4 linked regions of the Pelodiscus sinensis genome follow. The protein of the gene in region 3 purifies or fractionates together with the protein of the main gene of each other region. This does not show direct contact. Links are inferred from orthologs where the notes say so. Each region holds a gene or a part of one and is shown on either strand. Other genes may lie near its edges. The genes, in order: CCT7, RUVBL1, WDR5 and SESN2.

Region 1 (7,833 bases), on a different chromosome or scaffold from region 3:
CAAAGGAGACCAAACATTTTCACCTGGATAGTCCGGTAATTGCATCTTCTGTCTGGTATTTTCTGGGTTTTTTTTTTTTTTACCGGACAGAAGATGCAATTACCGGGTGAAAACCAGATACCTGGCAACCCTACTTCCATCAGCACTTCCTGCAAGAGGCCGTGAAGACGCAGGACGCTCTCTTACATCTTAGGGAGGGAGCACTGGCTAGCCGTGACAGCAGGAGAATGGGCATTGGGAAATCTAGGTTCTGTAGCACCGAAACCTGGTGAGACCCTGGGCAAGTCAGTTTGACCAGAATTTTCACTAGTGTCATTAATCTCTAGGCACGAGGGATGTGAAATCCATTGAATTGGTTAAACTCCGCCTCCTGAGCCAGCCGCGGACAGGGGATGCTCCAGACACCTGGAGCAGCCCCTGTCCATGGCAGACCTCCAGAGCAGCCCCCCATATAAACCTTTCACATCCCTACTGGGTACCTCCAATTTTTGCATGGCCCAGTTTTAGGCACCTGGGGAGTAATTTACCGAGGTGCTTGAGGCCCCAGACCAAGTCAGTGGAGCTGCTGGTGCCTGGACTCTGGAGGTGTGTCAGGCTGGGTTCCCAAAATCTCTAGTCACTTTCCAAACACATTGCCCCTTACCCAATCCTTGCCTCAGTTTCCCCTCCAGTAGCACACGGGGCTGCCACTTGACCATGGCACAAGGGAGTCAGGAGGCACAGTTAATGCGGGTGAAGCACAGCAGACACTCTAGCAGGCCAATTCACTCTCTAAATTACTACAGGCACCACTTGACGCCTGTCAGTGGGGGGCGGGGTGTCTAGTGGGCAAAGCAGGGCAGTCGGGGGATGTGGGTTCTATTCCTGGGGCCACCACTGACTGGCTGAGCGTCCTTGGGCAAGTCACTTTCATCGCTCCATGCCTCAGTTTCCCAATCTGTACAGTCTGGGGCCTGTTTACTTACCTGCCTCTCATGGGCTCCCTGACACTGAAGTCCGGGATCCTTAGCGAGGCAGTTAATAATTACTACACTAAGCAGAGGAAGCGGGAAGGGAGAGTAGTAGGATAAATGACAAGGAAGGGCCTAATCCGGAGAGGTGCTGAGAACCCACAGGAGATGCTGGTGTCCAGCGCTGCTCCAGATGGAGCCCAAACCCTCTGCCCTGCTGAGAGCATTTTGACGTCTCGTAGCAGCACTTCCGCTAACCTCAGTGAACCGAGCAACCCCCCAGCCACAGCCAGAACATTAATTTGGGCAAGCAGCTAGGACCCATCACGAGACTCCTCCAGAGTGTGACATAAAACCAGGCTGCCTGCTTGGCCAGCCCTTTGGAACGCGCCTCCGAACTGAACACAGGTCATTTACCAAACCCAGCGGAGCAATCTCCCCTCTGGGATTTTCTCCTTTGCTTTCTCCATCTTTTAACCTGCCTCAGCTCCTCTTATTTACCTGCTGGCTGCCCCTGAATCCAGCTTTCCCTCCATCTTCCTTTCCTAATCGCTGTGCGAGTTTCAGGGCTGATTTACCGTGTTCTAATGGGCAACCACAGCGATCAAAATTGTCTCTCAAGCCGAGTGGCAATGCAAGATTCTCCCTTGCTGGGCCCCCTCCATGGAGGGATCTTATGCCAGGGCAAGAGGATGTTGCATTATATTTTGCTTTGGCTCGCTCACAGCTTTCAGAGCGCCGGCACAAGGCATTTATTAAGACTGGATCCTGTGCAGCGAGATTTTCCTGCTACATGGCCCCAGCCGGACTGCCACCCCTTCACGACTGAAAATGGGAACTTACAGACACACTAAAAACCAGACAGGTCTGGCAGGGCTTCCCGGCAGCCAACAGAGCAGAGCATGATGAGAATACAAAGAATAAACAGCAAGCACAAATTCCCCCCCAGCCGAGAAGCGCTCAAGGTTTTTTAACCCCTCCCCTGCATTTCAGGGCAGCAGTTTCTGAGCACAAGGGCCAGCGGCTGCCGCAGCAGGGCACTTGACTTTGGAAGAGGCAGCTGGATGTGCATTGTAAAGGCTTGCTTGTCAGTCCTGTGTTGCAAGCGTGCGCCAAGCAGAATGGAAAAGGCGCCCACACAATGCAGGCACCGGGGTACTCTCTAGCCTCTCCTTCTCCCCGGGTGGCCCGTACTCACCATCAGCAAAAGGGCAGGCGCAGAGACAGAGCACAAAATGCAGCCAGCTGCCAGCGCTGAAGAGCATGTCTGTGCACCAGCCTCTCCGTGGCTCCCCAAGGCACCTCTAGCCACAGAAGTCTCAAAGTGGCCACAAAGCAAAGCCCCGCCTCTGGCTTCCACTCACTGGTCAGCTCCAGCGGCTGCCAATCCCATTGGTGAAGGTTTCAATCAATCCAGTGCCGGCTGGTTACAAGAGGCTTGAAACACCGAGGGGTTCCTAGTAGAGAGGAAGAAAAAAATAAATAAAATAAAATAAATCCGAGCCGGTTCAGCCCTTCAGCAGATTTTTCAGAAGTAAAATCACTGGAAGCAAATCCGTCCTTTTCCACCCACTCGTACTCCACGGAAAGGGCAGGGACACACGACTGGGGGGCAGGAGGTGGGGTTTTATTCTGGGCTCTGCTATAGATGTGTGACCTTGGCCAAGTCATTGCACAGTGTGCCTCAGTTTCCCCCTCTATACATCTGCCCAAGAGGGGACCCTGAGCTTCACCCATTAATGTTTACTGATGGGGAGGAGGGGTTTTGCTTCAAAGGGGTAGCCTTGCTCCCAACATTCAAAAAGCTGCGCAGGCATCTGCAGGACTAGGGCCTACCTGTAGATGCAGTGAGTGAAAGCAACAAACAAGGAGGAGGGAAGGGAGGGCAAAGGTTACAGGAATAAGCGCCTGGATGCTGGTTTTGGTTTTTACAATGGTTGCTTTTAATGTGGGGGTTGCTATGGCTTCTTTTGCTGTTGCTCAAGCCTGCTCTACTCCCCCTCAGCCCTGCCTACCACTGGCATTTCTGCACAGTATCTCACTAGCTTCACAGCTACAGCAGCCGCCCCAGCCCCTCCTCACGGCCTCAATCCCCCTCCCCCAATTAGTTTTGCTGTATGGACATTTTGTTGCGCATCTTTAAACCCTGCCAATCTCATCCTAGACAGCACCGGTGCTGCTATACGGGTGTGAGCCCCTCCTGATTACACGCTACACTGATATACTGCGGGCATGCCACTGACATGGCTTGATGCTGTGCAAGTGTCTCTAATGCAAGGGGGACGAGGCACTTCGTCCCGGACTTTCCCCCCCATCAGACCCTCTGCCCCGTTTCCCTGCCTCCCACTGTGCTCCAAGTGCCTGGGGATAGCGTTGCCAGATGGGTCCAACAAAAATACCGGACGCACTTGACATTCCATCCCAATCGACATTCCATCCGATTTAGAAAATACCGGACGGTTCTATTTTCTCCATTGGTTTCCAGAACAGAAAGCTCCAAAACTGGACTGTCGGGTGCAAAACTGGACACCTGGCAATACTAGCTGGTGAACCCAACTATCTGCTCCTCATCCAACCTCCCCTTCATGAGCCCCCATCAGTACCCAGCTGCCTGCCAGACTGTGAGCCCCACCTGCCCTCCCCCACCTGGCAGCGAGCCCCCACCTGCACGCCCTACCTGCCAGATAGTGAGCCCCCACCTGCGCTCCCCCACCTGCCAGATAGTGAGCCCCCACCTGCGCTCCCCCACCTGCCAGATAGTGAGCCCCCACCTGCCAGACTGTGAGCCCCCACCTGCGCTCCCCCACCTGCCAGAGAGTGAGCCCCCACCTGCGCTCCCCCACCTGCCAGAGAGTGAGCCCCCACCTGCGCTCCCCCACCTGCCAGATAGTGAGCCCCCACCTACCCTCCCCCACCTGCCAGAGAGTGAGCCCCCACCTACACGCCCCACCTGCCAGACTGTGAGCCCCCACCTGCCTTCCCCCACCTGGCAGTGAGCCCCCACCTGCGCTCCCCCACCTGGCAGTGAGCCCCCACCTGCGCTCCCCCACCTGCCAGATAGTGAGCCCCACCTGCACTCCCCCCACCTGCCAGATAGTGAGCCCCACCTGAGCTCCCCCACCTGCCAGATAGTGAGCCCCCACCTGCGCTCCCCCACCTGCCAGAGAGTGAGCCCCACCTGAGCTCCCCCACCTGCCAGATAGTGAGCCCCCACCTGCGCTCCCCCACCTGCCAGAGAGTGAGCCCCACCTGAGCTCCCCCACCTGCCAGATAGTGAGCCCCACCTGAGCTCCCCCACCTGCCAGATAGTGAGCCCCCACCTGCGCTCCCCCACCTGCCAGAGAGTGAGCCCCCACCTACCCTCCCCCACCTGCCAGAAAGTGAGCCCCCACCTGCACACCCCCACCTGCCAGATAGTGAGCCCCCACCTGCGCTCCCCCACCTGCCAGATAGTGAGCCCCCACCTGCACACCCCCCACCTGGCAGTGAACCCCCACCTGCGCTCCCCCACCTGGCAGATAGTGAGCCCCACCTGCGCTCCCCCACCTGCCAGATAGTGAGCCCCCACCTGCGCTCCCCCACCTGCCAGATAGTGAGCCCCCACCTGCACACCCCCACCTGGCAGTGAGCCCCACCTGAGCTCCCCCACCTGCCAGATAGTGAGCCCCCACCTGCACTCCCCCCACCTGCCAGAGAGTGAGTCCCACCTGAGCTCCCCCACCTGCCAGACAGTGAGCCCTATACTGTCTGCTTGCCAAATAATGAGCCAAGTCAGTACTCCTCTTGCCAGATATTGAGCTGACCCCACCCCTCCGCACCTCTATGGTCAGAGGCGGGAAGGAAGGGACGCCGGCGGGCTCCCAACCATCGAGTGGGCGCGGGGAGAAGCCGCTCGCTTCCGTTTCCCGTTGGAACTCCGCCCCCGCCCCTCGCGAAGTTTCTGCGCGGACGCAGTGCATTGTGGGAGCGGCCACCCCCTGTGCTGGAGGCGCTCCACCGGACCTTCCGCCAAGATGATGGTGAGTGGGGCCGGCGCGGCCCGCGCCATCCGCCGCCATCCGCCCCGGGGACGGGCCCTCCCGGCCCGACAGCGGCTCCCCGCCCCCAGCGGGCTCTAGCCGGCCGGCATCAGCCGTTATTTTTGGGGGGGGCGGGCTGGAGCCGGAGCCGCGGCCCCCAGCGCAGCCCGGCGGCAGGAAGGGCGCGGGGCGCTGCGGCCTGCCCCGAGGGCAGCCCATTGAGCGGGGTGGGAGGCCTGGGGAGCTCGGGCCGGCCTGGCTAGCGGTGGGACATCAGTGGCCTCGCAGGGACTACCAGCCCCATCAAGTAACGCGCGAAAACTTGCCCCTGAGTTGGGGTTCCAGGTGGCGCATTGCATGCTGGGGGTTGTAGTCCCTGTAGGACAGAGCAGCGGGGGGAGTGAAGGAAGCCTCTTCTGCTGACTATAGTAACCGTTAACCTGCCCTTAGGGCTCCCCAAACCATTGCGTGCTGGGATCGGACGCCCTGCCTCTCCCCGAAACAGCCGCAGGGGCCCAGCATTGCCCACGGAGGCTGCTGTGGTCAGGACGTAGCATTGCATGTTGGGGGCCACCGTCCCTGTGGTCTCCACGGTTCTGTTTGGGTGATGCTAATGGCTCGTTTTGATTCTGGCACCTGCTGTCCCCAAATTGTTCAGAGGAAAGGGGCAGCGTTGCCTGATGCAGTGTTGCCAGACTTGTCATCTCGGTGGTGGGCACGTCCCCGGGCTAAGCTAAAGGCAGGCCTCAGAATGTGCAGGGATGCTTACAAAAGGATGCTTATGTTGCAGAGAACGTGGTTTTCTTCAAAGGCAGGATAATTTGGATTTTCTATATAAACTTCCATTTAGGCTTGTTCTGACAGAGGTAAAAGAGCCTTGTTTCTGTTTCACAACATGTCCTTGAAGTCTGAGGGCCTGTATTTAACTTTCATGCCCCACCCTTGGCCCTCTTGCCCAATGAGTCTCCAAAGGCAATGTCGGAATTGTTTGAATCCTAGCGATCTTGCCGTAAAACTGTTTATTGCCAATGGGTCAACCTCCCACTTCACTGTCAGTGTAAAAAGATCATGCTTGCATTCGGTGAAGTGCTAAGTGTTGGCCTAGCTTCCCCTTCAAGCAATGCCATCTTGCTCTGATTTTTTCAAAGACAGTGAGAGGTGAAAATGGGTTTCTGCACAAATAAAGGTTCACTGGCATGGGATCATCCTAGAACATTGTGAGGAGGCATTGGCTGGCTGTTACCATGGCCTTTTAGAATCCCTAAGTCATTCTCTTACAAGCATAAGAATGACCATGCAGGATCACACCAGTGGTCCATCTAGTCCAGTATCTTTTCCCTGGCAGTGTCCAGTGCAGATGCCTCAGGGAGAATGAATGAAACAGGGCAATTTTGAGTAATCCCAACCCATGTCCATTCCAAGTTTTCTGGTGGGTTGGAGGCTTGGGGACACCTCGAGCAGCGGCTCTCAACTAGGAGTACGCGTATTCTTGGGGTAGGGATATTAATGCACCCCTGTGCGTTTTTGTTATTTCCTAATTTTCATGTTTACCACAGACCTTGTTATCTGCATTTTGGGTACCACCCTCAGTGGGTACAGCTGTGCTGCTGGCAGCAGCATTGTAAGGGTAGACAGGTCTCGGTTGTTCATACCGTAGTGTCATGTAAAGCTGTTAAGAGATTTTTCATGACACAGTGGTAGAAATGCCTTTGATCTGTCCACTCTGTCAACTTAGCATTTGGCAGCAGCATTTTTAATAGCTGTTGGAGTAGTATGGATACTATATATCTAGTACAGAGACAGTCCAGTGTGGAAGTTGGAAGGTAGAGGTTGGACTTCCCTTGTCCGGCACCCTAATTTGCCAGACCAGGGGAGGTCCCCTACCACTGGCTCCCCAGCCTGCTGCTCCTCAGTGTTCCTAGTTCTGCTACCAGGCCCCCTGCCTCCAGCCCCCCCATCTGCTACTATGCTGCCCTGCACTGCCAGGGGCTTTGGCCTTGCATTGCCTCAGGCTGCCAAGGAATCCCAGCCTGGCGCTATCCTGGGCTGCAGCGGGCTACCAGGCTGGCCTCTTCCCAGCGCTGCTGCGGGCTGCCCCCAATTAAGGCTCAGCTCAGTAATGTAAAAGTTAAAATAATGAAAACAAACACAGGTTTTTGAGTGTATAACTGCGAGCGTTAGAAACTCAAGATACTCAAGGTGAAGATTAAAATGAAAAGAAAATCTTCAAAGAGCTGGATCTTTTGATGCCTAAGACCTTATTTCACAAAGTCTAGTTGTGAGAATAAAGTTTGTAGGCTCCGGCCCCTGCAGCGTAAGATCTTCTGGGTTGAAGTTTTTTGTAAGTCATTAGGCTTTAATAGACTTTGGCTTCAGCGTCAGATATGGAATAGCAAACAGTGACACTCTAATAAGGTGAACTGATTTCCTTCATTGTTCCCCTCAGGAAAAATGACATTGAATAATACTAATAAGCTGAGCTAAGGAGGTTAAAATATTGGTACACAGTTATTTTTAGGGTGACTATTTGGCTTATTAAAGTCTGAGGGAAGCATTAGCTAGCATCTCTTGTCTTTTCAGCCCACACCAGTTATCTTGTTGAAGGAAGGCACGGATTCCTCCCAAGGGATCCCTCAGCTTGTAAGTAACATCAATGCCTGCCAGATTATCGCAGAAGCTGTTCGCACCACCCTGGGCCCTCGGGGCATGGACAAACTTATTGTTGATGACAGAGGTAAGTATAAGATAACATGACTTCCCAGAGCTGCCTTTTAGCGCTTCAGTGTTACCAAGCACAAGGCAGTGGCTTTTGGCTGACTTATCAACCTCCCTGCATAATGCATAGTATAGGTGTGGGATACAAG
Region 2 (7,008 bases), on a different chromosome or scaffold from region 3:
TAGTGCGCGGTGTTCCATGCTCTCTTTGGGATGCCATGAGTTGTCGGCGATCTTACACGACCTCTGAAAAACTGAAAGTTGTTAGCTATGCTGAGGCTCATGGCAACAGAGCTGCCAGCTGTGAATTTGATGACATAGCGGAGTCTAACATTTGGCTTTGGAGATGGCAGAAAGAGAGCCTGCAAGCACTGCCTAGGATGAAGATGGCTGAGTGAGGTAAAAGCGCTGCATATCCTGAGTTGAAGGCCAAGCGGGTTGAATGGATTGCTGAGCGTAGACAGCACGGCGGTGGTGTTAGCATTGTGGAGGTTGGAAAGAAGACTTTGACCATTGCCAAAACGTGCACTAACACAGCCGGGTTTAAAGCTTCGTATGGCTGGGGTGATCGGTTCATGAATCACCATGGCCTATTGGTCCGATGCTGAACAACAATCGCACAGAAGCTACCCATGGACTCAGACACCAAGTCACTGCAGTTCCAAAAGTTTATCATAAGCTACGGAAGCAGCACTGCTACTACCTTTCATTAATTGGTAATGCAGATCAAACACCATTACATTTTGATAATGCCTGTGACAGAATGCTTGAACTGAAAGGTGCCAAGACCATCTCCATTGCTACCACAGGCCATGAAAAGTCTAGGTTTACCATAATGCTTGCTTGCATGGCCGACGGAACGAAGCTGCCTCCTTATATTGTGTTCAAGAGCAAGACAATGCCAAGGAATGTAATCTTCCCGAACATCGTTCACATGCGTGTTCACCCTAAAGGCTGGATTGATGAAGCTTGATTGGCTACAGACGGTTTGGGCGAAGCAGCTGGGTGGACTTATGAGAAAGCGGTCTCTAATAGTTTTGGATGCATTTCGGTGTCATCGTATGCCATCCGTTAAGAAAAGGCTTCAATAGGACAAAACAGACTTGGCAACTATTCCTAGTGGAATGACCAAAATGTCGCAGCTGCTTGACGTGACACTTAACAAGCCAATCAAAAATGCACTACACAGGAAATGGAACACCTGGTTGTTGGAAGGTGAACATACATTTACTGCAGGTGGACGTATGTGAACACCAACGCTGCAAGATGTTACCCAGTGGGTAGCGGATGTCTGGCTTGAACTTGATCCCGCTATGATAAGGAAGGGGTTTCTGAAATGCAGCATCTCTAATGCTATGAATGGCAGTGAGGATGATGCCCTGTGGATGAATCCGAGTGACAATGAAGTGGCCGAGGGCGAATTACCAGTATGCGAAGATGACAATGATTTGTATTACCTGGATGAAGATGTTGAGGGCTATACCCTGGAAGATATTGCTCGACTGTTTGAGGAAGATTCTAACAAAAGTGAATTCGAGGGCTTCGAAGATGAGTAGTCAATCAATTAACATAGTGGTATTTGCTTGTTTGCGCTGCAGTGTTGATTTCACTTGTTTAACTTACCTTTTTGAAACTGTGTATATAGTTGCTTGTTGGTACTAATAAAAATCAACTTAACCTCTGGTGTCCAGCGATTAATTAACTGCCGCGGAACTGCCAAATGAAAACTTAAAAAAAAACCCCTCCTAATTATAATGCGCACCCTGACTTTAACGCTAAAAAAAAAACAACAGGTAAAAAGTGCGCATTATACTTGAGATTTTACGGTATGTGTTGGGCACTTGATATGTTTGATGTATATACACAGTATAGCTACGTCTACACTGCAAAGTTTTTGCGTAAAAACCTGTGGCGCATCCACACCTCAAATGAGCATTTGCACAAGTAAATCAGCAGTTAAACGGCAGAACAGAGGACTTTTGCCCATGCAGGTAAACCTCCTTTTACAAGGCATAACTTCCTTTTGCGCTACAGCTATTGCACAAAAAGGCAAGTGTGGACATTGCACAAGAAACCCCTCCGGGAAAAAGCACAGGAATCTGATGGTCGTTCTGTGACTGGCCATCAGAGCTTTCTTGCACAAGAGTGTCCATGCAGTGTGGACGCTCTCTTGCGCAAAAGCACATCGCTTTTGCGATGTGCTTTGCGGTGTGGACGTGTTCTTGCGCAAGAAGTTTTTGCACAAAAACTCTTGCGCAAAAGGCTTCTTACGCAAGAAGCATATAGCGTAGACGTAGCCTAAGTGTATTGTTCAGAGCCAAAGCAGAACTCGCTGCTTACATAAACACTTTCCCCACTATATGGAAAAAAAAAAACTTTTCTATGAACATAGCTAATAAAAACATTATAAAGCATTAATGAAGGAAATTCTAACAGCTGGAAGATAAAAGAAATTTTATTAGTGCTATACAAATATGTAAAAATGTTATTTTTTAAAAGAGAAGTGTTAGCTTATCTTTGGGATGAAAGTATATATATTTTAAGAAGTGTTTTCTTCAAGTTACCACTATTTCACTGAAAGTGCTTCTGGGGAAATCTAAACTTCCCAGTGGAAAAAGTGCATGGTTAATAAGAAGGTGAATTGTTAACCAGTAAGTCTCACCCTTAATGGTTGAGAGTTATGGTTAACCAGTGGGCCCTGAAGCAGCCCTCAACTGCTGTGGGTCCATCTGGGGCATGCCTCGGGCAAGGGCACTCCAGCCTGGTCAGAGCTGCCTAGCCCATAGCTGGGGGAGTGCGCTTTGGTTGGAATGTCTCCTCTCACCCACCTCTATTTAATCAGTTAAAGATAACATTTAACCTGCTAACTAATTACATGGATTTTTACATCCCTGATGGTTACACCTTCCTCCAGCCCACTGCAAAATAAATGAGCCAACTGAATCCAATGGCAAGAGACTCCATGTTACTAGTGAAGTCCAGCAAAGCAAACAATCAGGCTAAATTAGATATAGCCCATGAGCGAGACAGGACTGCATACTACAGGAGATCTCTAAAGCAAGCAAATGCTTGTGTCCTTAGCCATTCTGACACAGCCACTGTCTTGGAAAATAAATCTAGCTCTTTCTATTATAAAATCATAGAATACCAGAACTGGAAGGGACCTTGAAAGATATTCAAGTCCAATCTGCTGTACTCAGGGCAGGACCAAGTACTATATAGATCAGGTGTGGACAATAATTTTTTTGGGGGAGGTGGGGGGACAACCACCACCTAATGAATTTTGATACTTGGTCATGGGCCAGCTCCACCCCTGGAAAGGGTGGGACCTGTGGCAGAAGGGGTGGGGCTGGGCACTAGCTTCCCCTCAAGAGTTGTCTAGGGCTGGAGGCTTTGAAGAAAAGACATAGCAAAGGCCTTGTGGCTCCCAGCCCTATCACAGTGCCTGGCAGCTGCCCAGGGTTACTCTAGCTATTTAAAAGGCTCATGGCTCCAGCACCTGCCAGACTGTGAGCCAAGAGCCATTTAAATAGGATCCTGCTGCCTGAACTGGAAATTCGGTGGCAAGGGCAGTAAGACATAACAGAAAGTGGCCAGATTGACCTGGCTTGCAGAGTGTGACCCCTCTTCAGTGTTAGGTGGACCGAATCCAACCCCTAGACCCCTTGCCCAGCCCTAACAGAGGTTTGGAAATTTTTAAGAGCAGCTTAAACATTGATGGAGTTTCCACAGCTATGCTAGGCAATTTATCCCACCGTTTAACTACGGGGACAGAAAGTTTCGTTAGAAACAAGCAGTCCTCGCCTCTCTCCATTTGTCAGAGGCACATGTAAGCTGAGCAGACCAAAACGCCATAGGCAATTGACCTGGCAGGGGAGACGGCTACAGCCTGGGCTTGCCCCTGACTGTGGTTACTACCTCTCCCCAGCCGCATGCCTCCCAAGCCCCACCTATGGCCAAGTAATTCCTTCCCCCAACCTCTGCAATCCTTGAGCTGGGTGCTCCACAGGGACGATAGCATCCCGGCCCAGAAGCTCCAGAGCGAGTGGGTGACGCCGGAACTTCTACGACGAGCACACAGGGAAGTGGATGGGCGAGCTTTCAATCTTTGGTAGTAACCGACACATGCCCTCTCCAATAAGCAGCGAGAGTCGTGCCGCGTTGGCCAATGGCAAGGGAGAAGGCGGGATTAGGTGACCAGGCGCCGGGAGCCTTGGTAACGCGCGGGCCGCGTGCTTCCCGGGACTGTGTGACTAGGAGGCAGCCGGAGCTGTGTCTGCTCTTTGCCGCCGGCATGAAGATCGAGGAGGTGAAGAGCACCTCGAAGACGCAGCGCATCGCCGCGCACAGCCACGTGAAGGGGCTGGGGCTGGATGACAGCGGCGCGGCCAAGCCGGCGGGGGCCGGGCTGGTGGGGCAGGAGAACGCTCGGGAGGTGAGGGGCCCCGGCTGGAGACGGGTGGGCGGCGGGAGGGGGGGGGGTCTGTGAGGCATAGAGCGGCCTAGTGAGGTGGGCGAGACCGTTGCTGGGGGGTTGCTGCCCCTTTGCACATCCCGCCCCCTTGCCAACGGCCCCCACCTGCCAGTTGAAATGTCCGCTCCATCTGCGTCAGGAGGGCCCTATCGGGGCTACGTGGTCTGCCCCTTCTCCCTGGCTTTTGGAGGGGCCGCAGTCCTGGTGCTTCAGTCTTTGTCAGTCCTCTTCCGCGCACCCTTATAGCCTCACTCTAGCTTTAGCGATGGCAGCGCTGCAGCGATAACGGCTCGTCCATATGCAGCCATGGACGTCACAGCACTTTGTAACGGGAGATTGGCGTTATCGTTATTTCTTATGATGGCGAAACTGAGCCACAGAGAAGCAAAGTGACTAACCCAGCGTCATACACCAGCTCATTAGCATAATTCGGGTAGAATTGAAAGCTTTTAACTCTCATTGGCTGGACCACACTGTCATGAATCTTGCTTTATAACTAACGTTTTAGGAGCCCTTCCCTTCCCAGTCATTTACAGGTACCCGAAAGAAGTCTGTATTTACAGCAAAAGTGTCAGAACTCCTGCATTCTAGTTGTACCTCTGCCACAGATTTTGTGTGATTTGGGGAAATCATGATGTCTATCTCAGTTTCCCCATCTGTTATTGAAAAACTAAATGTTAATAGTGTTATGAGTAGTAATTCTTATAAACACTGTTGGTCCCTCGGGAATGACAGGTACTTAAGCTGTGTAAAAGTGTTATTACCTATAAACTGGTTGAGAATATTCATTTAAAAGGTAATTTTAGGTTTACCTAAAACCAGCTAAATTAATGTTTTTATTTGTAGGCTTGTGGTGTTATAGTGGAATTGATCAAAAGCAAGAAAATGGCTGGTAGAGCTGTGCTATTGGCAGGACCTCCTGGAACTGGCAAGGTATCGTCTTCTTAGTACAAAAGCTATTCTCTACCACTCTCTCTTAAATATAGTGGTTAGGGATGTTAGATAGCAGATAATAGAATAGTTGAGTAACCACGTGAATTTTTATTAGTTACTTGACTATTCTATTGTCCCCAGGGGCAGGGCCGGCAGCCAATGCGCTTCAGCCCCACTCTCAGGGAGTCCCCTGTAACCCCATGCTGTGTCAGAGGCAGCAGCATGGGGTGGCAGGCAGGAGCTGGTCCATGAGGGTAGCGAGTTTAAAAAACAGCTTCCATCACAGACCAGCTGCCTGCCACACTGTGCTGCTGCCTCTGTATCAGAGGCAGCAGCGTGGGGTGGCAGCAGTTCCTGACCACGACAGTCTGAGTGTCCCATGGACAGAGGCTGCTGGGGTGGGTGGGAGGCTGCTGCAAAGCAGCCTCTGTCCACGGAGGCCTGGGCTGGCTGCAGACAGAGGCTGGTCTGGCAGCAGTCCCTGTCCTCGGGGGGGTCTGAGCTCCCCACGACCGAGGCTGCTCTGCCTCCCACGGAGCAGCCTCTGTCCATGTGAGCGTGGGCCCACTGCAGACAGAGGCTGGTCCCTGGCAGCGGCCCTTGTCTGCTGGGAGCTGGGACCCTCCCCCCCACAGATAGGGGCTGCTGCTGTGAGCTCCGACCCCCTCTCAATCAGAGGCAGCAGCACAGAGGGGCAGATGGCACCATGAAATCAATGTTGGGGGAACTGGCTTTGAAGGTAGAACACTGTGTGGCACTGCCGCCTTTGAAATGTAACAACAGCTGGGCGAGCTCTTGCTACATTTCAAAGCAGAAGCGCCCTTATTGACTAATCTAATAGTTGATGGAAATTCCATCGACTATTCAATTAGAATTCCATCAACTATTCAATTAGTTGATTAATCTAACTTTAATATCCCTATCATATACTTGACTACTCTTTTACATCCCTAATAGTGGTGTCAAATATTTCCCCAATAATAACTTCAGCAAGTACCTTCTGCAGTTACTAATCTTTTTTAACTTGAGCCAGAGTTGAATAAGCACTGAACCTTTCTCCAAATTGTGTTTTACCATGCTATGAGTGTGCAGTGGCAATGTCTCGTTCTAGTGCCAACAGTGTAAAAACCCATTCTACACATGTGAATGAATGAAAACGTAATATGAAGTATGTGGGTTTTAAATAAATGTCATCTTAAACATAAATTTGGGAGTTTTAAAGCATTTTAACCTTTGTTTTTTGCACGTTACAAGACTTACACCTTACATATGGGATGTTAAAGAGAGACTGTCCAAAAATAGTAAACAGTTTTATGACTAGCTTCAGGTGCTTCTTGGTAGTTCTTTTAATTCTTGGATGAAAGACATGTTGTAAGAGAAATGTGCTGTTGCTGTATATGAAAAAGTGGAGGAGTAAGAACATAGGAATCCTGACTCCCAGGCCTTAGGTTCCAGTTCTCATTCTTCCATTATCTCATTGAAGGCACTTGGATCTCTCCATTTATAAAACAGCACTGTAAAGCATTGCAGACGGTGATGTAGTGAGCAAAGTATTTTAACCTTCTGGAATGGTTTCTACAAGATCTTTTGGTCATTATACATGTATCTCTCATAAAAATTCTTAAGTGTGTAAGAGTTCAGTCTTTTGAATTTTTACAGACTGCTTTAGCTCTAGCTATTGCTCAAGAGTTGGGAAGCAAGGTTCCATTTTGTCCTATGGTTGGAAGTGAGGTCTACTCCACTGAGATCAAGAAGACTGAAGTCCTGATGGAAAATTTCAGAAG
Region 3 (7,716 bases):
GCCTCTCTCCAGCCTCCTTGGAACCTCCCTTCAGGAAGTTGAAGGCTGCTATCAAATCCCCCCTCACTCTTCTCTTCTGCAGACTAAACAAACCCAAATCCCTCAGTCTCTCCTCATAGGTCATGCACTCCAGCCCCTAATCATTTTGGTCACCTTCTGCTGGACCCTCTCCAATGCGTCCACATCCTTTCTATAGTGGGGGGCCCAGAACTGGACACAATATTCCAGATGTGGCCTCACCAGAGCCGAAAAAAGGAAAACAATCACTTCTGAGGCTGGGAAGACTGGGGCCATGGCCCTCTACCCCCCCGCCCCGGTGCTCTAGGGCTGGGGGAGGCTGAGGGCACACACCCTCTTTCTTGCTGGGACGTGGGGCCTGAGCAGAAGGGGTGGACCTGGGGGTGGGTCTGCGGGCTTGCCTCCACCAACTCTACCTTCACCCACGGCCTCTGTGTGTTTCATACCAGCTTCCATCATCTCCAAAGGTAAGGGTCTAGTTTCATGCACCTAAACAACCCCATTAAAGCCTTTGATACTTAAAACTGGGTATGTGCTTAACTGGAGCCTATTATGATTAAAAATCATTTTGCTTTATTTAAAAAGGTAAATTAAAACACTTTACCTAGCCTTAAGGGCAGGGAACATGCAGTGTTGTTGTGATGCTTAGTTACTGTTTGTTAAGCACTTTGAGATCTTTAGGCACTAGCAAAACAGTAATACAAATAAGAGAACTTTGGAAGTGGTAGGAGAAATCTCCAGCATGACAGAGTCATGAGAAATGGGGCACAGTACATGTACATTTTAATCTTCAACAAGAAAAGCAAATTACACTGTTCTGACCAAAGAATAATTAAGTATCAGCTTTTAAAACGGTGAATCCAGTCTATTTAAACAAACCAACCACCCTTAGGTTACAAAACAGAAAAGAACTTAACTGGCTGGGTCTCTTAATGCTGGGTTGTGCCGCTTTTCCAGCTCCGTTTATTATCTTCTACTTTGCCCCCTTATCCATATTTGCATTATAAGGTTTAATTCTTTAAATTCCTGCTCCAGATTTCCAAAGCAGGCAGTAAATTTTTCCTTGAATCCCCTCTCCACCAGACATTTTCCATTCCCCAACTGCCATTAGAATTTTTGGATCTCAAAGCTCTTTGTTAAAGGACCGGCATGTACACACTTTTCTTGGGTTTTTTTTTCCTCCATTAAACAAAAGCCGCTTGTCGCAATTTCTGTGTAGCCTTTGGCCTCGGTTCAGGAAAGCACTGATTTTTCCAGAAAGCAGCGGCGTAACTTTAAGCATGTTTTGAAGCGCTTTCCTAAATGTGGTCCTTTGAATGGATATTCTGAAACCTTGTCAAATTTTATGGAGCGTGCAAGGCACAGAACCGGGACAGATCTTATTTGATTAATCCAGCCCTTCCGTGTTGGAACCTTTTCATTGGCTCTCCTCTGCAAGATCAGAACAGAAGTTTTTATTATGCTTCCAGCAGCATCCCTTGGGTGCATATTGCTGCTTGTTTCAGAGCTTCTTTGAGGTGTTTTGCACAACCTAATCAAAGGGCAAAGCTCTCTTCTTAAAAAATTGGTATAGCTGCAGTTATTATTCACACTTATAGACAACTGAGATCCACTGCAGCAGCAAAGCAAGTATATCAAGCGGACACACAGACATCAGTCATCACTGGGGATTGAATCAGATACTTCCAGCTCCAAAAGCATAGGTCTCTAATCCCTTGAGCTCAAGAAGAGATCACATACCTTAGGTAATTACTGGAGGGAGCTATGGCGAGATACATTAAGCCACTGTATTACACAATCACTAGCACTGAAGCAAAAGACAAAGGCTACATCTAGACTGCAGGCTTCTTTCGGAAGAAGCTTTTCTGGAAGAGATCTTCTGGTGTTTAACCACCCTGACAGTTAGGAAGTTTTTTCTAATGTCCAACCTAAACCTCCCTTGCTGCAGTTTGAGCCCATTGCTTCTTGTTCTATCCTCAGAGGCCAAGAAGAACAATTTTTCTCCCTCCTCCTTGTGACACCCTTTTAGATACCTCAAAACCACTATCATGTCCCCTCTCAGTCTTCTCTTTTCCAAACTAAACAAGCCCATGTTCTCTAGACCTTTAATCATTAGTCATGTTCTCTAGACCTTTAATCACTCTTGTTGCTCTTCTCTGGATCTTCTACAATTTCTCCACATCTTTCTTGAAATGTGGTGCACAGAACTGGACACAATACTCCAACTGGACACAATATTCCCTTACTTCTGGGCTGCTTGTCTGTGCTGAATGGCTAGAGAGCAGCACGCCTGCAGCCCAGAAGAAAGGCTGTAATTTAGGGGGGAGAGGTCCCATCAAAAAAAGTTTTACTCTTAATTTAGCAGATTCCCTTACCCAGAGTGACTGACAAACCTCACATTAGCAGAGTACTATCCTGTATCCTATATGAACACGGCCATGACATTTGCTATTTATGCCATGACCCACCCACAAAAAATGTGCGATTTCTCCATGATTTAAGTAGACCACTCACAATAACGTATAACAGCGATCTGCTAACCTCAGTGGTTCAGGAGGCAAATTAGCCATCCACATTACGTAAAAGAGCCTCAGTTGTGTAAATGTATATATTATCCTCACAGCCAAATGACTGATCGAGTATTTTACAATTGGTGAATAACACAGTAAAAGCATCCTGATTAGCTAATTATGTAGATTGGTTAAATAATTAAATCACACAGTGTTTTAATATCATGTGCTGCAAGGAGCTGCAGGAGACACATTAAAGAGCAACACACAGCTCCTCTCTGAGTAGCTCTGATGTGAGAGACCTTGAGTCTTAGATACCTGAGTGAGTTTCTGAAGGCTGAGTAGGTGCTAAACTTGCAGTGGTCCCCAACGTGGTGCCCGGGGGCACCATGGCGCCCGCCGGGCCATTTCTCTGCGCCTGCTGAGTGAATGAGGCTGGCCCCACACCTGGGCGCATGGCGCATGGCCGGTGCCGGCTCCCTGGGCGGTCAACATATGGGCAACGTCGGCCCCAGGCACGCAACACATGGGCGGCCCCAGGAGCTTTTGGGTGGCCCTGCCCCTGGGTGCGCGGTGCAACGGCTGTACTGGCCCCAGGTGCGCGGCATATGGGCGGTGCCGGCCCCGGGCACACGGCGTTTGGGTGGCCCCGCCCCTGGGCGTGCAGCGCATGGGCTGTTTCGGCCCTGGCGCACGGCGTATGGGCAGCCCCACCCCTAGGCGCCTGGCACAGGAGCAGCGCTGGCCCCCGGGAGTGCAGCGAATGGGTGGTGCCAGCACCGGGCGTGCGCCATATGGGTGGCCCCGCCCCCAAGCACGTGCACGGCCTCGCCCCCAGGTGTGTGAGTAGCCCCGCCCCCAGGCGCCCGGCAGCCCCAAAAGGTTGGGGACCAATGTTAAAGAGTAGGGGTGAAAGGAAGCGCTAGGACTTACTGGTATGCCGGAGTCCTTACTGGTATGCAAGAGGTGATGGGTGGGTTTGAAACCGCACAAGGGGCAGGGCTAGAGCCTAGAGGACCACACTCCTCAGCCAGTCTTTCATGACCACCACTTCATCCGGGACCCCCAGGCCTTTCTAAACACTGGTCTCCAAGGCAGCTGCACCTTTTGCTGCAGGTCACTCTGCCAGACCCGACCAACAGGGCTGCTGACCAATGTTCCCTCTAACTCCGCGTTTCTCAAACTGTGGGTCCCGACTCCCCCCGGGGGGTCGCGAGCAACTTAGAGGGGGGGCACAGTATCACAGAGTTTGAGAATCCCTGCTCTAACCTTTTCTATCCACGTGTGGAATAAAATTTGTATGTGCACGCGGGTGTTTGCAGAGTTGCACCACTGATAGAAACACAAAACCTAGCAGTGGGTGCAGCATTTGAATTGCTCCTGAGCGGCTGCATAAGCACACAGCTTACAGGGAGCGCTGCCGCTGACGGGGGGAGCAAAAGCGGCAGCAATGTTAAAGCACTGCTGAAGCAGCACATTAAAAACGGTCCTTCCCTTGCTGCCGTGATGGCACTTTAACATCCGCCGCATATGGGCTGGTGCCGGTGTCTGCTTCTTACAGGTATACAGCTGGCACCAGCCCAGTGTCACCTGGGTAAGACACAATGATGCTGGGACGGGCCCTATATTTTAAGAAATGGGGGTTTAAAGCAGTGCTGCAGTGGGGGGGGGCTGGGTTTCCTAATACGAGCCGTGTGTGTGGGGATTGCTTGCAGAACTGGGCCCCATATGTAGTGGGTGTGTGTATCACGGGGCCCCATAAGTAGCTGTGTGTGTGTGTGTGTGTGTGTGTGAGAGAGAATCCCCCCCCCACACACACACCAACACTCCCCCCCCCCCACTTCTGGCAGAGGGGCACTGTTCACCCAGGCTGTCCAGTGCACATGAGGACACTGGGTCAGGCTGGGAAGGGGGGGGGGGGGGCTTGAGGGCTCCAGCCTGGGGAGCTGCAGCTTGCTCCAGCCTCAGCGACTTCCAGGGAAATTGCAACACGTGGGCCGCAGGGCCGTGACCTCTGCAGCAGCCCTGGCCGCGTGCATCCCCTGGGAGCCCCCACCCGGAACAGGCCTCTGGCCCTTTAAGGCCTGTGCCAGTCCGCCTCCGACGGATTCTGTCCCTTCCGCCTCGCCGTAGCATCCCCGGGAGAGAGCGGCATTGTGCGGCTCCCTCCCCTTCCGCCGTGAGCGCATGCGCCGCCCCGCAATTCCCCCCTCCCCGCCTGGCAGCTACGGAGCTGCCGCTGCTTCACCTCCTCCCCGGCCCTGCTCCGCGCCGAGGAGGAGGCGGCGCCCCTCCCCCCCCTCCCAGGTAAGTGACTGAGCGGGGCCCCCTCCCCCCCCCCCGCGCCGGGCACGCGCCGCCCCGCGGCCCCGCCCCGAGCTCTGCCTCCGCCAGGGAACGGCCCGCGTGGGGCCGCCCCTCCCCCGGCTCCCGTGTAATGGGGGGGTGCGTGGGGCCGCCCCTCCCCCGGCTCCCGTGTAATGGGGGGGGGCGTGGGGCCGCCCCTCCCCCGGCTCCCGTGTAATGGGGGGGGGCGTGGGGCCGCCCCTCCCCCGGCTCCCGTGTAATGGGGGGGGGCGTGGGGCCGCCCCTCCCCCGGCTCCCGTGTAATGGGGGGGGGCGTGGGGCCGCCCCTCCCCCGGCTCCCGTGTAATGGGGGGGGGTGCGTGGGGCCGCCCCTCCCCCGGCTCCCGTGTAATGGGGGGGGTGCGTGGGGCCGCCCCTCCCCCGGCTCCCGTGTAATGGGGGGGGTGCGTGGGGCCGCCCCTCCCCCGGCTCCCGTGTAATGGGGGGGGTGCGTGGGGCCGCCCCTCCCCCGGCTCCCGTGTAATGGGGGGGGGTGCGTGGGGCCGCCCCTCCCCCGGCTCCCGTGTAATGGGGGGGGGTGCGTGGGGCCGCCCCTCCCCCGGCTCCCGTGTAATGGGGGGGGGTGCGTGGGGCCGCCCCTCCCCCGGCTCCCGTGTAATGGGGGGGGGTGCGTGGGGCCGCCCCTCCCCCGGCTCCCGTGTAATGGGGGGGGTGCGTGGGGCCGCCCCTCCCCCGGCTCCCGTGTCCTTTCTTAGCTCCAGGGCGGGGGGAGGGAGCAGGGAGGATGCATGTCCTTGCTCTTGGGTGCATGGATCTGTCCCTTCCCTAGCTTCCACGTGGAGGGAGGGGTGTGCACCATTCCTGCCCCAGGGTGCATGGACCGGCCTCCTCCCAGCTCCTGTTGGGGGAGAGCTGTGCAGCCCTGGTGATGTATGGAAAAGCCGCTTCCTTAGCACCGGGAGTGGGGGTGGTGGTGCAGGCACCAGCTTCGGGGTGCAGGGTGAATGGATCTGACCTCCTTCCCTAGCACCCATGGGGTACATGGACATGCCCTTCCTTGGTGCCCATGACTGGCGTGTATGAACCTGCCCCCAGACTGCATGGGTCTGACCCCTTCTTAGCTCCCACGCAGGGGGATATGTACCAGCCCTAGTCCTGGGATGCATGGTCTCGCTCCGCCCTCTCTTGTTCCTAGGCCTGGCTGGGGGCATGCACCAGTCTGTGGCCAGGGTGTATGGATTTATTGTCCTCTCTAGCTCCCGTAATCTGTATCTTGCTTTGCATGCGCAGACCTTTCCCTTATTTGGTTAATAAGCTGCATAGCCTGTCTTGGGGGCATGCACTGGTTCAGGGTGGCTTGTGTGGCCAATGTTACTTGCATGCATAGATTCTAGCCCTTACTATTTATTACATGGAGGGTGTGTCTCATCCTAAAGGCCCAGGCTACTGTATGAGATTGGGGATTGAACTGGCACAAGTGCAGAAGTCAAGCTTGTTCTCCCTCCAGCCAGATGCAGCTTTAAGCATTAATGATTTGAGCTTGGTGTAAAAGCCTCTTCATGAGTTCAATCTTAGCCATATTGGCATCAGCCAATTGCCATTCTGGAAACCTGGACTGAATATTACTGTTTCTGCTGTTTGATGCAGAAAGCTGCCTCTTGTTCCTATCATGCATAACACAAACAGAGCTAAACACTGAACAGCTGACGTAGAGTTTCCAAAGCTCTCTTCCAAAATTTCCTAGCAGTGGCTCATCTCCACTGAAGAGAGCTCTAGTGTGGGAAAGACAGGGGCTATACTGTGCTGCACAGTCCCCCAAAGAAGACATGGCACTTAAAATCCTACCAGGCACCTGTGTTGTCACTCCAAATACAGCTACTACTAGCAGAACAAAACTGGTGGTAGCAACACTAATAATTTTTGTCTTAAGACAAGGCCTTACTGTAAGTGGTGGAGGTATTGCCTATTGTCAGGCTGAAATCTAGCAGGGCTGCGGTAGAGGTTTTTTACTCTGCAGTGTAGCACTGATTGAAGAATATTGGCACAGCAGTTTCGGGTTTTGTTTCGAGAAGGTGAGTCTATTGAGACTGCTACAGGCTGGCTCTTAATCAGGTGAAATATCTTCCATGTGTAAGGCAGGAACAAGTATGATTTGCTGCTCTCAAATGCAGTTAAGGAAACAGCCCTTGGTTGAAATAGATGAATTGGGAGGGCAGAAGAAGGGAATAGGATTTTGAGTTCTGGGTGTACCTGTTGCATTTTTCGCATGATCGTGGGTTTTGTATCGCATCTGTCTTTCCATTTGAAAGACATCCAGGACTATTACTTGCCTCAGTTCCAAGAAATGAAACTCTTATAGCTACGCTTCTGAACTTTTTACGTTTAATGGCATTTCAGGGAGTGTGGTGAGAAATAAACTGCCCACACTCTCACCAGATCCTCTCAGCTGTAATATGAGATTAGGCCAGAACAGGGGTTCTTGAACTGGTGTACGCTGTAGACCACATTGTCTCAGAGCATCACATGGACCACCTCCCTTGCCACTGGTTAACAATCCTGTGTGGCAACTACAGCAATTGTTTACTGCTCTGGAGAGCAAGAGGTGCTTATAGCTGTTTAAATCTGATTTGGCATTGGAGACTGGACAACTAGCAAAAAGCTCTGTAGTCTATTTTTATAAAACGGGGAGTTCAGAGGAATGTTGCAGATGGCACAGAGTGATAGGCATAAAACTTTGTCAATTCCATATTTATTTAACTCCCACCAGCAGCATTCAGGTTTCTTGGATTTTAGCTAGAATTGGAAAGTGATTTTTTTCCCCCCACTGATTATATGGGGACCTGGATTATGATTAGGGTGCATTGTTACGTTAATTGTCGTC
Region 4 (7,514 bases), on a different chromosome or scaffold from region 3:
GGGAGGGGCAGGAGAGGAGGGTGCTAAGCCCCCGCAGGTTCAGGGTGGGAGCAGGTTAGAAATCACTTCCCCCGCCACTCCAGAGCCGACACACAACCAGGGCTGCGTTGATGGACCAGCAGGACGGGCCTGGCCCCGTGCACTGCCGCTTCACCCACCAGACTTACACACCCAGCCCCCTCCCTGCTTGTGGGAGGGCGGCAGGTGAGCAGGGATCCGCCAGCAGCAGGACCTGCCAGTTCTGATGGGGGAGGAGGCAGAAAATGGACAACTTGCCCATTTTTAAGAAAAAGTCGGGACACCTGCAGGAGGCCTTAAATACAGTCCTGTCCCTTTAAAAGTGGGATCTGGGGGGCTGGGAAGTCCCTGAGGGAGGGAGGCTGCTCTGCTTGCCAGGGGTGAGGACGTGTCCATCTCAGCCAGGCGAGTTATGGGGAGGAGGGAGCTTTGGGAGCCAGCCAGTCAGAGGGGAGATCTGCCCTTTCCCCCGCTGGTAACAGCTCCTGGGGCCTGGGAGGCTGTGCGGGGAGAAGAATGGGGATGTGTGCCCTCATTAACCAGGCAAAAAGGGGAAGCAGCTCAAGGGAACAGGCTGCATCTCGACCTGCTGCTGCTCCGGGCTTTGTCCAAGTGGCCGGGTGTACAAGGGTCCCTAGCGTTCAGCCTCCGTGCTAATTGCCTCAGCGTCCCCCCACACCCAGCTGCTGCTCAAGGCATCTGTCACTCCTGGGCTCCTGACAAACAGCCGAGCTGGTCACAACAGGCCACACAAGGCTCCTTCTGTGACCCTGCGCGGGGGGTAGTGAGCCCAGGAGAAGCTGCTCTAGCCTTTGACTTTTGCTGCATGTACAGCCTTGTAGGGTAGTGGAGGGGGTAAATCATGGGTAAGTTAGTCACTGGGAGCTGGTGGTGCCCCCTCCTCTTACCCACCCATGCTGCCCAGGCTTGGCAGGGACTGGCTGGCAAACCAGCCAGGAGAGCGGCAAGGGTATGAGATCTGCAGAGCACAGTGTGTTGAGATGGGTCCGATCTCCCCTGAAGAAACGTCACCCTTCTGCCGCCTGATCTACCCCGGGGATGAGGGGCAGTGATTCTGCCCTGCCTCGCCACCTCACGTACCATTTTTACCTGTGAAAAGTGAGTGTGCAACAGGAACACACGGTGCACTTTACACCTTCACGGTCCAGGGGTAAGTGGTGAGGCAGGATGTGATGCCGAGGAGAAAGAATGTCAGAATGTGCAATTTGTTCATGGACCGATGCTTTGCCTCTGCCGGGTGCTTTGCTGCCTAGAGAAATGGGGGCCGCATGGTGGAGTTTGCATTTGAATTCCAGGCTCGAATCAAATTTTGCCAAAGCTCAGGCTATTGAGAGATTCAGTGGTTCTGATTTGGGACTGAGAATAAGCCCAAACGGGGAGATCTGCAGCCCTGGTTCTGCTTTGGGACTATCATAAGGACGGGCCCATCCTTCCTCAGAATTTGGGAGCATGTGGGTCTGTCTTCATCTTAAATCACGTGCCATTAAGAAAAGCACATTACAAAGGCTCTTGCCTCACTGTTTGGCCTCTCCGGAGTTTTAAACCCTAGAGTGAGTCGGAAAGAGTTGGCCCCAATGGAGTAACACAAACTTGGCCTCCCAGATTTCCCTGGTCAAATGCTTAAGGAATCCACTTTGTTACAATGACTTGAGCTGCACCATGCCCAGGTCTGCGGGGGAATGGAAGGCAAACTGGGGTCTCTGCACAGAAGGGTGGTTGAAGGCCACAGAACACCGTCAAGCCAGAGTTTTGCAGTAAAGCTGCAATTGCACAACGCTGCTAAAAATAACACTAGTTGCGCATGGGGTTGATCTATCAGCCAGAGGGGAAAAAAATCCGTTTGACTGTATATAAGCTGCCACTGCAAGCTTCCTCTTTCCCCTTTGTTGTGCTCCTTGCAGGGACTGGCTGAGCCGCCTGCAGCCTCAGCCAACCACACTCTGCCATCCCTTCCTGAGCCGCCTGTCCATTGGCTGTCCTGGGAAGTACCACTCAGCCAAGGTGCAAAGACATTTTCACCTAACTGGCAGGCGTTCTGGATTGGAGCCGGAGGAGGCTGTTGCCAGGCAAATCCAGACCTGTTTGCGCAGCTACTTCTGTTTTCTGGACTTTGCCATGTGTGGCTCTTGACGCCAAAGCAGATTGTTCTCGGCACTATTGTCTGGGGCTCTCTCTTTTGTAGAAATGTGGTGTTTGTTATTCAAATCAGCGGGGGTGGAAATCAACGGGGGCTGCGCCAGGGGAGCAGAGAACACAATTTGGCACTGCGCTTTCTGATTGATTATTCTGTGAAATAACAGACCCAAGTTCATCTCCAGTGTAGCTCCATTCATAATGCTGCCAGTTGTCTGGCCTTCTGTGTTGCTTATGAAGATCTGTGCACTAATGTAGGAATGATAAGCTGTGTCTTAAGACACAGAAAGGACCAGGGATATGGGGTGATCTCTACTCAGTCTCAAGGGTACATCAAAAAATATAACTCAATATGATTGGGACACAGGAAAGCAGAGGAAGCTATAGGGAAGGGCTATAAGGGGACAAGGAACCCACGATGCTGACTTGCAAGTCCCTCTTTTATTTCAGTCCTGGATTCCCTCCTTCCTCTCTTCTATTAACCCATTATCTTATTGGTTGTAAACCCCCCCCCCCCAAAACAGGCACTGTTCCATTATCTCCCTGAACATCAATTGTGCTGACGAAGCACTACTCTGTCAGGGTAGCTGCACCTACACTGAGCATTTTGTCAGCACATGTGTCACTAGGTGTTGTGTTTTTTATGCCCTACGGCTGTGTCTACACTGGCCACTTATTCCAGAAAATCAGCCGCTTTTCCAGATATACTATGCTGCTCCCGTTCGGGCAAAAGTCTTTTTTCCGGAAAACTGTTCCGGAAAAGGGCCAGTGTAGACAGCACAGTACTGTTTTCTGCAAAAAAGCCCCGATCGTGAAAATGACGATCGGGGCTTTTTTGCGGAAAAGCGCGTCTAGATTGGCCACGGACGCTTTTCCGGAAAAAGTGCTTTTCCGGAAAAGCATCCTGCAAATGTAGATGCGCTTTTTCAGGAAATACTTATAACGGAAAACTGTTCCGTTTTAAGCATTTCCGGAAAAGGGTGCTAGTGTAGACGTAGCCTACAAGTGTTAAACGTAGGTGAGGCTTTAGTCCAGCCTGGTGTTAATTGATGTAAGAGGAGAATTGGGCCCAGTATGTGTGAATGTTCATTTCCTTGTGGGCCTCGTGTTCCTTTTCATAGATAATGGGCGTGATTCTCCATTGGCCTACACCTTGTGCTGCCATTTACGCACATGCAAAAGTGAACAGAGCCCTACTGTTTTAATAGTATTTTACATCCACTTTGCACTAGTGCAAATGACAGCACAAGAGCAATGGCAAATGGATGCAGGAACCTATGTGCAGATTTCTTCTCGGTGTGTTCAGAAATCCCATAATGGGAGTTTGTGATCCAGAATCAGCCCTTTGAATCTACAGGGAACAGGGTAATCGTCAACACCCCAACATCACTTCTTTTTATTTCTATGTTGTTTTTCTCCTGATTGGTTGTTTTGCTCCATCCAGGTGCTCTTAATGTTGGTTTGAAATTATTTCCTTTATTTATTTAGTCTCTGTTTGGCAGGTTCACTTAGGTAAGACTTAGGTTTCATTTCAAGTTGTGTTATTTTTAGGTAGATCCAGAGATCTGAGAAAGTGTCTGTGTGTCTGTGTGTGTGTACACGTGGGCGCTCAAAGTGCAGAGGTGGTGAGAAGGGGTCGCAGACTAGGCCAAAAAATGAGATTTAAAAATGGATTCAAGTCAGTGAGGGATGCAAGTCAAGCACTTTTACTCCCAGATTATGACCCCCCCCCCCACACACACACACACAGACACACACGTGCACTTTTCCAAACCACTTTAAGCGCTGCATGCAAACAGGTCGCTAGATTTTGATCCTGCCAGAAGGACCTTTCATATACAATTTGAGTCAGCGTCAAGTGCTTTTCTGCTTGTGCCTAATTTTCTCTCTTCCACTGCAACCCTCCCCCACGAAGGATCAAGTTCTATCTCAGTGTGTTCTCCATTAAAAAAAAAGAAAAAGAAAACCCCGTGAGGGGGCGGGTGGTGCGTGCCTCTGCAGCATTCATTCGGCCGGGTTCCTAGCCCCTGCACCCATTTCTGACTTGATCTGAGGAAGTGGGTCTGGCCCACGAAAGCTCATCATCTAATAAACCATCTTGTTACATTGTCCTGCATTTTGCTTCATCTTCCCAGGAGGTCTCCGTCTGCCCCAAAGTAAACAGCGGTTGAACTAGCACTCCCAAAATCCCCAGCGGCTCTGTCCTTCCCTATTGGAGGAGAAGTTTAGGGGGCTGAGCCCGAGCTCTGGAGGACGCTCCTCCTCCTGCGAGGTGATTGGGCCAGTGGGTCAGTGGGCCGCCGCGGGCAGCTGTTTTCCCCGCCTAGACCTTTATGAGAGGGCAGCTGGGAGGCTGGGAGCGAGTCGCGAGTGGGTTGGCTCCGCGGCGCTCTAGAACCCTGATGCGCCCGGACGTTCCAGAACCCTGATGCGCCCGGACGTTCCAGAACGCGGCCACCTTCGGACGTTCTGCCGTGGAACCCCGGGGCGCCCACCTGCCGCGAAACTGACGTGCCCAGGCGCTGCCCGGCCCGCGATGCACCTTCACCCTCCGGACAGATAACCGGGTCCGAGCGCTGGCGCAGAGCTCGCCCCACGTCTCCCCCGCACCCGAGTCCCTCCCCACCCCGAACGGCACCATGATCGTTGCAGACTCCGAGTGCCGCAGCTGCACGGGCATCGCGAGCTACTTGCCCTGCGAAGGATGTGGCGAGTTGCGGAGTAAGGAGGTAATGGAAAGGGGGGAACCCTCCCCCCCCCCACACACACCCTTTTTTCGGAAGGGGTTTGCTTATTTTCCAGTTTTCTCTTCTCTCCTGCCCTGGTCTGTAACTTCGGAGCTGTTTACTTTCCCAGTCTAAACGATTTGGGGGGAGGGGGCGGCGCTCCAGATCCAGCCTGGTCGCGTAAGGGACTCTTTAACTGTACACTTTTACTCCAGTTGCATCAGCCGCAGTGAAATGGGATGCGAAGGGGGGGCGTGAGGTTGTTCATACCGGTGGCGAATATCGGCGCATTCCCTGGGCCGGTGAATGCTAGATCCGATGGGCAAACAGTTTTGCAGCGTCTGGCATGTGCCGCGAACCGAGTTCTCGCTCCCTCTCTTCTCGACTTTTCTCGGTCATTGGAGGCAAATCAGAGTTTCCATTTGACTTGTTGTTGGGCGAACAGGGCGCAAGTACAGACATGTCCCAAGCTGTGGGCCTGTCACCCCCCTCCCCCCCGGGGTAAACGAAGTAGTCTCACTAGGAGGCTGAGGGGGACGGGTGGCTCGCTAAGGAGGATGGAGATCACTTCTAAGACCGATTCTTACTGACTTCGGAGAGAACAGCCCCTTCTGAAGTTGACAGAATTTAAAATAACTAGCTACCGCTTCCCTTGCAAAAGAAGTTTTCCCAACCTCGACTTTCCATGTTTAATTGGTTTAATTTCCTGTCTTTAATACAGATGAGACACTTGTAACAACCTGGCACCATGCATTAAGATTTTCTTTAACCTCCAGTTTAAGAACAAGATTCCTCCCCCCCCCCTTTTCCTTCCAAAGGGTGATGTGAGGGAGACGAGTCTGCTCCCCCTAGCTTACAGAAACCTCCTGTGACTCTTTAATGGCTAAACTTTAAATAGAGATGCTCAACCCCCTTGAGTTTGAAATCGCCCTTTCTCCTACTTGACTCTTGGGCAGGGAATTCTGCTACCTTAAGGCACAGCTGTCCTCTTCAGGGTGGGTATTCCGCAAACTGCAGTGCAGGACCCTCCAAATGCGCTTCGCCTCCTTTTGCTAAGATGGTGCTATCTGAATGGCGCACAAATTGGTGCTCCCAACAACTTACAATGTACCTTGCTCCTCCCCGGGTACTGAGGACAATACAGTAACTAAAAGCCTTCTTGAGGGCCCTGAGAAAGTTCAGCAGATGAAAAGGTGACCAGCTCTTCTTTTATTTAGGGGGTAAACAAACGCGGGGAAGAGGCAGGTGGAGATAAGAAGAGCAAATAATACAATAGACTGTGTTGATGAGCCCTGTGCAATTTCTCTATGTGGCTTTCATGCACTCTTAATTGTTTGGCCCCATCTGGGCACCTTGTGAGTTTCATAGTTTGAAGATGTGTGCAGGAACTTTACAGCCTAAAAATATGAGGTTGAGAAAGGAAACTGAGGCACAGAAAGGAGTAAAGCTAGGTAGCAGGTCGCTACTAGAGCAGGAAATAGATGATGTAATACCCAAGTTTCCCAAGTTCCAGCTGAGTGATTCTTTGCACATGGCTTTCATCATTCTTGTCTCCCTTATAAGGTCCAGTAGTTACATGAAGAGACCTCGGTTGTGTCCATCTGCTGTGCTTGTTTTTGAAGATGGCAGAACTGAATCCTGTGGGAACAGAACTTCATTGTGCAGAAAACTTTTGTGTCTCTTGCAGATCTGGATGAGGATGGGCAGGCAGCTTTCTCTTCCTTAATCTCTGCTAGGGAGTATTCAAAATACACTGCTGGGGTTTTTTTGTTTGTTTGTTTGTTAATGGAGGAGCTTGGGCTTTGAAACTAGTTCACTGATGGGTTTGGGAGTCCTCTAGAGGAGCAGTCACTGTGTAAGACTCGGAAGTGCTGTGAATACTGTATTTGGTACTTCTCGGACATTATTATTGATCTTGTTAATTACAGTGCCTAAGGATTTGTCCAAATGTTCACCATTGGCTAGGTGCTGTACAGAGTAGCAGACTGTCCTTGTCCTGAAGCATTTACAGTTTTAATATACTAGACAGACACAAGCAACGTGAACAATATCATGGCAGTAAAGAGAGGGGACATTAAAGGAAAAGGTGAGAGGTTGCAAAATGCTTTAGAAGAATAGCTCTCAAACTTTCCAGACCACTGTACCCCTTTTTATACAATCAGACCTTAAAAATACAAAAGTGTCACGGCATGCTACTACTGAAAAATTGCTTACTGGCTCATGTTTCTCATATAATTATAAACTCAATTGTAGTATAACTATTGTACTTCCATGTCAAACAGACTGAATATAGAGCAGTGTAAACAAGTTACTGTATGAAATTTTAATTTGTATGGATTCCACTAGTGTGGTGAATCTAGACCAAATAATTAGATGAGTTGATTTACCCCCCGGAAGACCTCTGTTTACCTCAAGGGATATTTATCACTGTTTTAGAAACTCTGAAAAAAACACTGAGCCAGCTCATCTGTAGAAGTAGGTTTTGCCCATGAGAGCTCATGATCCTATATATTTGTTAGTTTCGAAGGTATCACAGGACTGCTCCTTGTTTGTAAAGTTACAGACCAAGACAGCTACCCCTCTCTGAGACTTAGACACACTGGAGAGACAAGGTGA

Evidence for each region.
Region 1: the proteins of WDR5 (region 3) and CCT7 purify together in Homo sapiens (affinity purification with mass spectrometry; 3 studies listed by BioGRID and IntAct, with this or other methods). This does not show direct contact. The link is inferred for Pelodiscus sinensis from reciprocal best matches to the Homo sapiens genes WDR5 and CCT7.
Region 2: the proteins of WDR5 (region 3) and RUVBL1 purify together in Homo sapiens (affinity purification with mass spectrometry; 3 studies listed by BioGRID and IntAct, with this or other methods). This does not show direct contact. The link is inferred for Pelodiscus sinensis from reciprocal best matches to the Homo sapiens genes WDR5 and RUVBL1.
Region 4: the proteins of WDR5 (region 3) and SESN2 purify together in Homo sapiens (affinity purification with mass spectrometry; 3 studies listed by BioGRID and IntAct, counting the BioPlex papers as one, with this or other methods). This does not show direct contact. The link is inferred for Pelodiscus sinensis from reciprocal best matches to the Homo sapiens genes WDR5 and SESN2.

What each region holds. Positions count from the first base shown.
Region 1 is NC_134715.1:131,026,815-131,034,647, reverse strand, and holds the start of CCT7 (T-complex protein 1 subunit eta), read left to right. Parts: upstream 1-4,831; 5' UTR 4,832-4,963; coding exon 4,964-4,969; intron 4,970-7,549; coding exon 7,550-7,703; intron 7,704-7,833. Other genes in the region: PRADC1 (protease-associated domain-containing protein 1), read right to left, coding at 2,149-2,215. UniProt on the Homo sapiens protein: Component of the chaperonin-containing T-complex (TRiC), a molecular chaperone complex that assists the folding of actin, tubulin and other proteins upon ATP hydrolysis.
Region 2 is NC_134721.1:24,793,224-24,800,231, reverse strand, and holds the start of RUVBL1 (ruvB-like 1), read left to right. Parts: upstream 1-4,002; 5' UTR 4,003-4,111; coding exon 4,112-4,252; intron 4,253-4,794; exon of another isoform or gene 4,795-4,827; intron 4,828-5,137; coding exon 5,138-5,224; intron 5,225-6,883; coding exon 6,884-7,008. UniProt on the Homo sapiens protein: Possesses single-stranded DNA-stimulated ATPase and ATP-dependent DNA helicase (3' to 5') activity; hexamerization is thought to be critical for ATP hydrolysis and adjacent subunits in the ring-like structure contribute to the ATPase activity.
Region 3 is NC_134732.1:17,957,546-17,965,261, forward strand, and holds the start of WDR5 (WD repeat-containing protein 5), read left to right. Parts: upstream 1-4,709; 5' UTR 4,710-4,835; intron 4,836-7,716.
Region 4 is NC_134735.1:12,743,406-12,750,919, forward strand, and holds the start of SESN2 (sestrin-2), read left to right. Parts: upstream 1-4,496; 5' UTR 4,497-4,811; coding exon 4,812-4,901; intron 4,902-7,514. UniProt on the Homo sapiens protein: Functions as an intracellular leucine sensor that negatively regulates the mTORC1 signaling pathway through the GATOR complex. In absence of leucine, binds the GATOR subcomplex GATOR2 and prevents mTORC1 signaling.